2 linked regions of the Neodiprion lecontei genome follow. The protein of the gene in region 2 purifies or fractionates together with the protein of the main gene of each other region. This does not show direct contact. Links are inferred from orthologs where the notes say so. Each region holds a gene or a part of one and is shown on either strand. Other genes may lie near its edges. The genes, in order: N-terminal kinase-like protein and protein transport protein Sec31A.

Region 1 (5,005 bases), on a different chromosome or scaffold from region 2:
TAGAAATATACGACCGTAACTGAATTATCTCATTTCTAAACACAGCCCCACCAATTGAATACCAAGCGAGAATTGAGAATTACACATTACATACAAGTCTCGCTTTCACCTGGCGACAGTCTGAGATCACAGAACAATATCTTTGGTTTTGTATTCAAAACAACGTGTCCATTGTCCTGCTGCCAAGGAGCGAACGTAGTATCTAAAAGACGATATCAAATGAGACTGTTTTCGGGCCAGTTCATCCAGTTTGTCATACTCGTTTACTTGTTTGAAGTACCTGCATTTATAGCTGCCGACTGGATAGAATTTAATCTCTCTGACAGCACCGCCTTACCGTTTGTAGAACATTGGCAGTGTACCTGTGCGCTTGCCCATGCCAGACTTTCAAACACATCACTGGAAGCAGAAGGAAAAGATGTTTTCGCAACTCAAATGTAAAAATAGGCGATTTTGGCCGGATGCTGAAAATAAAAAAAACACGCTATTACACAACTAATGACGCGCGCGTTGACAATTGGCGAACTATTATTCCACTGGAGGAAAAATATCGTTTTTGTCCACTCGTAGAGCAAAATATAGGCTCCGCATCGGTGGCGTGCTTTGTCTATATTCACGCTGTCAGTTCCCTCAGTTGAGGTGATGTTTTCGCGTCCTAGTAAACTGAACTTTTTGCTTGTGCATTTAGTTCAATCTAGTTTGAGATTGTATTAACATTCAATTTTTAAAAGATTCTCTTTTCTTCTCTCTTTGAATCTACATTTTCATCTCGATCGGCGGGCTTCGCCTCCTGTACCCCACCGTCGCGGAATCGTCGTGTATCTTGTAATTTTTTACCAAAACAGTCAATTTATTGGGATATCACGTCCCTTGCTCATTTTCAACATGCGACCGACAGCCTAGTCATACAGTTTTATTGGCCGCCAATCGCCTAATTTTACATTTTCACTGGGAAAAATATTACGTTCAACTCGTGGGCAAGAAGAGCCTTGAGTGAGTATGATATCCGAACTTCACACTCACTCACAGTATCGTGCCTTGCCCACTAGTTGCATGATATACTATTTTTGGGGGGTTCTGCGTTTTTGGGGGTATGCCCAGACTTCTACGAACACACTGTACAAACCTGTGGCTTTGGGATATCTGATGATTAGGATTTGTCGGGTTGCCGAAGGTGATACAGCACTCGATCAATTCGCCGGAAAAATATGCAGGTCCTCTAACTAATTTAGCCGTGATATCGATCATCTTTAACAAGTTGAGACGAAACGATCAGTGACGTACAGGCGTTGATTGTATATAGCTGAGTGTATTATTGTTCCGTTTAGTTAACGTACGCATAACACATGTATAACGTGTATGTGACTTGATGCGTGATGTACAATACTGAAGGAAAATGGAGAAAGTCGAAGAATTTAGATCATGCTTCAGATGAGAAGAAGCACGTATGTATGTCAATTCATACAATAGCCTTACATAAAGCCCCCGCGACGAGAGCTGTTTTCTCTTTGCAATTTTTCTGCAACGAAATTCCTCTTGAATGTATCTTCTGACAGTTAGCAGCACAGATCGACCAGTCGACGAGACGGTCTAAGGACAAGACACGCGGCAATGTCGGCTGCCTTGGAAAGCTTGGAAACTGGCCGACATTGGTTAATTCCGTTGGATCCTACCGATGAGCACATCGATGAATCGCTTCATGATCGCTTCGTGTTAAAAAAAATGACGTATGTGCGCTCCTATGCGAGCCACCGATATATGTATGTACACACAACATGTATGCCAGCTCATAAACTTAATACTTTACAACCAATCCGCACACGTCAGTAGGTACCAAAAAGCTGGAGACAAGAGGGCTGACAAAATAGTGACGATAACAAAATGAATAAACCAGTTTTTATGAAGTTTAGTAAAAAAAGTGGATAAAAACGGCGTACACGTACACGTATTATAAGCCGAACACCACGGTATAACGGGCGCTGTGTAACAGCGAAGAATGTGGTCATTTTTCTCCCGTGATCCTACCAAAGATTTTCCTTACGAGATTGGAGAGCCAGTCTTCGGTTTCGAGGGGAAGAGCTTGTGGACACTTCACAGAGCAAAGAGGAAGGTAACCTCATTTAACATAACCTAACCACGTTCCTTCAGCACTTCAGACGAATACCACGAGATCATCCCGCACCAGATCTCTGTCCAGAACTATGTACAGAACTATGTTGGATAAAGTCGGAATTAGGCTGACAGCGTGCAAAAGGAAACCGGCGATGTACCCCAGTGCTTGCATGTAACAAAGCTTGCGGCTTGTGTTCTCGAAGCGTCAATGCTGCTAGCTATTTCACTGTCTTGCTTAGCACGGGCAGCCCGTGGTAGTTCTTTGTCTGACATAGATTGGGTCCTTTTGAGTTATTTACTTTTAATTATTTATTTATATATTTTACGGATACGATGTCCTTTTACATATGAATTCAAAAACAAAAACAAAAACAGGATAGGTAGACCGGCCAATAAATGTACAATAACATGCATATAGAAAGAACAAAAATGTAATGGGAGGTGAAGACTGATGGATTTTTATGATAACTATAGACTAAACTTACTTTTTTCGTTTAAACTATTCGAGATTGTCTGAGGAGCGAGTGCTTACAGGTAGCTTATTCCAATATCGAACAAGAAGATCAAGTGCGTTGTAATATAAGTAGTTGCTTCTAACCGTTGGATCTTCTCGAAATGTATCAGGATTTTTAATAGGATAATTCATATCCCTCAGACTCTGCATATGCGAAGTTCGTATATGTGTAGACATATGCAAACACAGTAGCATTTCTTGTTGTGATTCAATGCATCTTCTTACAGGGAACCAATGTCGGCGAAGATGTTTCTGTTTTTGTCATTCAGGCAAAAAATGGAGGTGATGCAGATCTGGAAACCGCCAGAGCAGCTGTAAAAAGGTTAAAGACTCTCAGGCATCCTAGCATATTGACCTACCTCGATAACCTTGAGGTATGGTATCAAGCCAAGACGGCACTACGTCATCCTTGATCCATTGTCACAGATTACTTGAATTTCTCCGTATTCTTACAGACAGAGAAGACTATATACCTGGCAACAGAGAGAGTCGAACCACTGCAGTTGCGACTGCATGGAAACAATCTGCCCGAGGGGCAGCAGCGCGACTTGTACCTTTCGTGGGGGATTTTTCAAATCACTGTAAGTTGAAGAAATTTGAGATTTTATATTGTCTATACCTCTTTCCGTCATCGGGCATTGAGCGTAGAATATCCTGAGCTACTGTTGAAATAATAATGAGGCTTATACAAAGTGCTTGTTAACATTTTATCTATAAAAAGAGTACTGTAACTTATGTCTGTTGAGAATAATGAATCACTGGTAACTAACGGAGTGAAAGATATAGCAGTACAAAAATTGTAACGTCCCAGCATCGAGGCCATGCCGAAACGAGTTGTTGATCCAGACTTTTTCACGTTTCACGTGTCTTGATCAAAAGATCCAAGTATGGCAAAAAGAAGAGCGTGGGGCTATAATGATTTTATTTGTGTTTGAATAGCGTGCTCTCAGTTTTCTGAATAACGACGGCAATCTTAGACACAACAACATCAATCTCTGGTCGGTTTTCGTAAATGTGGAAAGTGGCGAATGGAAGCTGGGGGGAGTGGAGTACACGACAGGGGTAACGGTAAACTATACTCCCTTGCCCGCGGCCCTGCGCGTCTACCAACCTCCTGAAGCTACAGAAACCTACAAACCTCAATCAAAATGGTATAGAAACTTATTTGTTATGCGGTCTTTATGGTAGACATTGAAATACCGATATAACAAATTACTGTATTTACCAAAGCAAATTGTACCGATGATGGCGGTAGGTGATAGATAACAATTTCCATCACTTGGGACACCACCAGGACAAGGACTACAGTATAGCTAGGGTCCAGTTTGCACATGACATTGTGTTTATTTTAATTACAATGCAATATTGTGGGATTCTCATTAGCTTTGTTCGATTTTCCAAATTTTTTGACTATTGTGTGATATGACTATTTAGGTATACCTGATGTACAGGATATTTCAAGTTATTCCGCACGTTTCTGTACACTTTGGTATTGAACGCAGATGCTAGTAAGAAAATGCCGTACACTAGCACCTTATAAATCACCGATCAATCATATTTACGATACGATTCTAGTGCTGCTTCCTGAATATATCAAGTACGTTTGTTCAATACCTCATTAAAATCACATCCTTGAAATGGCAGCACGATTGACGCGTGGGGACTTGGCTGCCTCATATGGGAGGCATTCAATGGCCCGCTCAACAGGTCTGCTGATCTGAAGACCAAAACGAATCAGGTACAAATCAACGCAAGGTACCGCTTTGATGAGATTACATCCAAGACTGTACCTATGTTTTGCTATCTAGATTTTAATTTAAATTCTTTAAGATACCCAAACAACTATTGGCTGTGTATCGAGAGCTCTCCAGTCACAATGCAGACGTACGACCCAATCCAGCCGATGTGATAGCAAGGTGTAGAAGCAACGGAGGATATTTTAAGAATGACTTGGTCGACGCCCTCTTATTCTTGGAAGAAATCCAGATGAAAGAGAAGGGTGAGAAAAGTAGATTCTTCACACAACTAGCCTCAAAGCTGGAAAGTTTTCCCGATGGAGTTGGAAGGTATAAAATCTTACCCCAACTTCTGGCGGCATTTGATTTTGGAGACGCTGGAAGTGCGGTTCTACCACCGCTACTGCAACTCGGCCGTAAATTACCCGATCCTGAGTATCAGCGTCGCGTTGTGCCCTGTGTCGTGAAATTATTTGCATCAAACGACAGAGCGACACGTTTGCGACTCTTGCAGCATCTAGAGCGATTCGTAAACCATCTTCAACCTTCCACGGTCAATGAGGCGATTTTCCCACAGGTTTTTATTGAATGTATATACAGCAGCGACTGAACGTCTATGATACGATGACAGATTTAAGAGAGT
Region 2 (5,219 bases):
TATTGTATAACAATAGATTGGTAGGTCGACAATCCTATTGAAGCTTGGAAGAATCGCAGCTGTTTTTAAAATTAAAACTGGAACGTACTTATCGCTGGTAGCGTGGAACCAACTTGCCCAACTTTAACCTGTGCGAAGTTCTATTGTTGGAACAAATAAAACACAATAATTCCGTTTTCACTCGCGAGTATTAACGCGTGCGAGCCGCGCTAGTAGAGACGTGGACTACATAGATTCTTACGGTCTGTTACTGTGCAATACCTTGCTGACTATTTATAGTCAAGCAGAATGGTTCGAGCAAGAATGGATCAAGCCTTTTCAACTAATGAAGCGACTCCGAAGACTTCGTTTTAACTTGTGCTGCTGTCTTGGCCTATATTTTGTTCTGGCCTAAATAATTTACTGATCATTTAATTACACTTAGTGTTACGTTGCTGGACAGGGATAACAAACTTTTAGTCTCATTGACCATCAATTTTTGATTTATTAAAAATATCGGCAAACAAGTATCTGAAAATCAGCCTATGATCAATACAGCTTTCATATTATATGAATAATGCTTGGTACATTTATAAAGCATATGTAACTTCCTATTTACTAAGGCTCATTGCGCCGCAGTTTTCATTTAGAATTTTCTAAAGAACATGTCTAAAACAGTAAGTTTTTGTGGTTTCAATTACATTTCGATCCCCTGGTAATATTTTTAGTTAAAATACTCATCAATGGTAGTAATAAAATAACTTTTTATCAAACAACTAGGTACAAAAATATGTTTTACTAATTAATATGTTAGTTTGTACATGAAAATGGGTGAAATCGGTATTCAAAGTGTGAAACGATTTTTCATCCATCGAAATATTGATCGCTTTGCTCATTCCCTAGATGTACAATATCAGTGAAAGAGGGAATATTCAATGAAAGGTACAAAGTGACTGATAAAAACATTAATTCTAATGATAGTAATTGTCGACACAATCTCAATATCAATCATAATTAGTATTATTTCTACGTTCAATATCTCTAATCTCCAATATGTCCGTTTTTAATCGCAATTTCATAATTTCTCTCCATATATCCGATCTGTGTTCCTCATTCACGATTCCCAATCGCAGTAAAATGTTCTCATTGACCCTCAGAAGCGCTCTGCCAGTTATATCATGCTGTATAAAGAGAAAACAACACAGGAATTAGGACCGCATCTGTTATATTCAAATATAATATGCTTGAAATCAATGAATTATTCCCTAAAGTCAAAATTACATACATAATACAATAAGTCGGACGTTACGTGCTATCATATTCTCTCACTTACATACAAAAACTTTTCATGATACAATTGATAGTAATCGCTACAGTGTCTCCGCAACCACTTCTGTACATCTAAGACATTCCACAAGTAAACTGGACGGGGCCGCGCAGTTTTATTCTGAATCACAGAGAGAATACTTAAGGCATGTGAAAACATTCTCACACTTAATAAAATATTATAACTTGTAATTCCAAGGATGCAACGTAACTCTTACTTTCGGTTTGTTATAAGAATTCACGCTCTCCTCAACCATTATTGAAATTTTAGGGTTAGAAACAATAATTGTTTACAGCAACGAGATCACCTGGGGGATAGCAGAAATTATTTTAATAACGGTGTTAATTGTAAAATAATCGTTTAATTTCAGAAAATGTAGAATACGGCAATTTAGACTCAATATTTGCCGTAATCTAAAAATAGAATTATACATGATAATTGCAGAGGAAACTGTACTGACCACAGTGTACTCAGTAAAATTGCACCATCAAATTGAGCTCGTTTGTTTCCCGTGCTAATTACTCATTGCTGTGCAGATCAGACTTCATCATCTTCAAATCATACACACACGAATGTACAGATATATTTTGAAAAAATATATTCATACGAATCAGTAGATTGTACTGTTATACGCTCTAATTGTAAGATTGTATCATAGTTCAGTGCCTGCCTGACATTTACAGTCAGAGCAAGTTTACAAAAGTTTACAAACATATGACTGATCCACCTGGTGTCGCTTTTAGGAACTAAATTTGAAGCCGCGCTATCACAAGTTACCACCGAACGGTAGCGACCAGTCGTAGCCGGCTACACTTCGTGGCTGGTTGTCGAGCCGGAGCCTTCCGCTGAATTTTGCTACGCCGCGCTACGAACTACAGGCAGTCCGGCAGTCGCCACGTTGGAAGTGTTGACGGTGGTGAATCAAATTTACCTGACGTTACCGAAATTATATTTATAAGGATTATTCATACTGAGCGGAACGAAAGCAAGGTTAGCCACAGGATTGTTTACATCATTATTCGTTTCAATTTTATGCCCAGATTGTGTTCTTAACTGCATATGTCAGGTAGTTCTTATTAATCCGTATGACATTTCAGTCGACTATCAAATCCTGTCCTCCACCAGACAACTGGACCTTTCATAAGGTGTATTACTTTATATTAGGAAAATATTTACGGTTTGTGATCTCATCTTGCAACGATACATCCAGTATTCATTGCTGTACGGCTCTATCATCAATGCTGTAGCTGATCAGATCTCTTGCGTAGCAATATTGCATCTTTCATTTTTGAATTATTGTTAAGAATTCATTACTCGTACTCCGAGTAATTAAAAACTTGATACCACTGTCTGCTGTTGTACAAGTCAGACTATCATGACCCGTTTGGTTGTATTATTGATAATTATTTGTGTACTTATATCTCCAGAAGTGTAACACATATATTTGCTTATGTAACTTTTTAAAAGTCATTAATTTAAAACAATTAATATTTTTATTCGTTACGGTGATCAGTATACAAGATGAAAGTGAAGGAACTGTTACGCACTGTAAATGTGGCGTGGTCTCCACCTGCTCAACATCCGATATTGCTAGCGGCAGGAACCGCTGCTCAACAGTTAGATGCTAGCTTCAGCACATCAGCCAGCTTGGATTTATATGCTCTTAATCTACAAGAACCCGGCTATGACATGGATCTTAAAGCTTCGATATCTAGTGATCACAGGTTACCCTTGAATCATTTTCTTCCTTTCATATTCTTATTGTTGAAAATCCATATAAATTTATGCTATCCTTATCTTCCCTTATGTTTCAATTTTTAGATACTTACTGATATTTAAAAGTGTTTCTTGTTTTCAAGGTATCACAAGATCATATGGGGATCTTTCGGCAACAATCCTGCTGGTATAATAGTAGGCGGTTGTGATTATGGAACTATAAAAATTTATTCAGCGGCTAAGATGTTAGCCAATGAAAGTGATTGCATCCTCAGTAGCCCTGACAAGCATACTGGTCCTGTGCGAGCCATGGATTTTAATCCTTTCCAATCAAATTTATTGGCCACAGGAGCCACAGAAAGTGAAATTTACATATGGGATCTCGTTAATACCAACACTCCAATGACTCCGGGAACTCGAAGTCAACCTCTGGAAGATGTCCAGTATATTGCATGGAACAAGCAAGGTATAGGGTATAAATTATATTATCATAAACTCAGGTGTAAATTTTCACTTACTTATAATTAATCGAATCCCTTTCCAAACTCGACTCAGCCAATTCAAATTCCAAAACTGGTAATTTGCAGACTTGAAACTGTTGATTTAACTTCAAAATTTTTTGTAGAAAACAGTATGATAATTATAAGATCGAGTGTTACTATTTCAGTGCAACACATTCTCGCTTCCACTTTCTCTCAAAGATGTGTGATTTGGGACCTACGGAAAAATGAGCCAATAATCAAGCTGAATGATGCAAACTCAAGGGTAGGTTTAGTTTTTTTCAAGTTAATCAAATTGTCATACACTATCAACCAATTACTCATCTTAACTTCAGGTTCGGTGGAAAGTGGTACAGTGGCATCCAGATGTTGCAACACAGTTATGCCTTGCATCAGAGGATGATCAGAGCCCGATAATTCAGCTTTGGGATCTCAGATTTGCCACATCACCCCTAAAAACTTTAGCGGCTCATCAGCGAGGCGTTCTTTCAATTGCTTGGAATCTACACGACCCTGATCTTCTGGTCAGTTGTGCCAAAGACAATAGAATACTTTGTTGGAACCCAAACTCAACGGCGACTGTAAGTTTATCTACAACTTTGCATGCCATATTTTGACACTTTGATTGAATTTAGTCATGAGTGTTCATTCAATCATAGAATGGAGAAGTACTTTGTGAGTTGGCACAAACAAATCAGTGGAACTTTGATGTCTCTTGGTGTCCACGCAATCCTGGATTAGTAGCTGGCAGTAGTTTTGATGGCCATGCAGTTGTTTACTCACTCTTGGGTGGTCAGCAACAAGTTTCAAGTGAAACTTCGAACAAGATTGCTGATTCGTTTCCTGGAATGGATGCCTTTGCTCAAGCACCGCCATTGCTGCAAAATGAATCAACAGTAGATCTGAAAAAAGCTCCTAAATGGCTAAAAAGGCCTGTTGGAGCTTCGTTTGGTGTGAGTAATCTGTGTACTTTACATAATTGTGTAATCTGTACGTTGAACTAACTTATACTCAGTTTTACCGATTTACAATTTACATTTTAACTCTTTTTGATGATATGAAATGTAGTCAGTAGGGTGTTAAATTTTAATATCCATGTTTAATTTGACAATTACACAGACATTTGTTTAATTTCAGTTTGGTGGAAAACTGACATTATTCGAAAATGACCCACCTAATTCGAATGGTCGAATCATTATATCACAAGTAATAACTGATCCAGAATTAATTCACCGATCAAATCACTTAGAAGCTGCACTCCAAAACGGACAGTTTGGCGATTTCTGCAAAGGAAAAGCTGATACTGCAACTAGTGATCATAATCGTAAAGTATGGAGTTGTTTGGGTGCACATTTTGGAGATAATATCACTGGAGATATATTAGAATTATTAGGATATGATTCGCAATCGATTAACACAAAGCTCAGCAAGTTTGTACCTGAAGAACAAACTGAAACAAGCACTGAACTAAATAAATTAAATAATGTAGGTATTTTTCCATCTTGACACAAACTGAAAAATGTTCATAGTGCTGAATGAATAAAATATTTTCATAAACAGATGAAAGTTACAATTACTCGTTGTAATAGGTTTCTAATGGCAATGTAACTGACGGAAGTGCAGCATTTGATGCGATTGCTCAACAGGAGCAGACAAGACAATCTCCAACTTCGATCAAGCCTATTGAAACCAATTTC

The links.
Region 1: the proteins of protein transport protein Sec31A (region 2) and N-terminal kinase-like protein purify together in Homo sapiens (affinity purification with mass spectrometry; 3 studies listed by BioGRID and IntAct, counting the BioPlex papers as one, with this or other methods). This does not show direct contact. The link is inferred for Neodiprion lecontei from reciprocal best matches to the Homo sapiens genes SEC31A and SCYL1.

Annotation. Positions count from the first base shown.
Region 1 is NC_060266.1:76,751-81,755, reverse strand, and holds the start of N-terminal kinase-like protein, read left to right. Parts: upstream 1-1,738; 5' UTR 1,739-1,996; coding exon 1,997-2,110; intron 2,111-2,853; coding exon 2,854-3,000; intron 3,001-3,081; coding exon 3,082-3,207; intron 3,208-3,565; coding exon 3,566-3,777; intron 3,778-4,270; coding exon 4,271-4,364; intron 4,365-4,456; coding exon 4,457-4,939; intron 4,940-5,005. Other genes in the region: RAB6A-GEF complex partner protein 2, read right to left, coding at 95-202, 281-399, 1,127-1,248. UniProt on the Homo sapiens protein: Regulates COPI-mediated retrograde protein traffic at the interface between the Golgi apparatus and the endoplasmic reticulum. Involved in the maintenance of the Golgi apparatus morphology.
Region 2 is NC_060260.1:31,677,601-31,682,819, reverse strand, and holds the start of protein transport protein Sec31A, read left to right. Parts: upstream 1-2,079; 5' UTR 2,080-2,296; intron 2,297-2,428; exon of another isoform or gene 2,429-2,451; intron 2,452-2,819; 5' UTR 2,820-2,827; coding exon 2,828-3,030; intron 3,031-3,165; coding exon 3,166-3,488; intron 3,489-3,689; coding exon 3,690-3,787; intron 3,788-3,857; coding exon 3,858-4,103; intron 4,104-4,181; coding exon 4,182-4,475; intron 4,476-4,659; coding exon 4,660-5,007; intron 5,008-5,111; coding exon 5,112-5,219. Other genes in the region: protein aveugle, read right to left, coding at 984-1,160, 1,313-1,426, 1,524-1,562. UniProt on the Homo sapiens protein: Component of the coat protein complex II (COPII) which promotes the formation of transport vesicles from the endoplasmic reticulum (ER).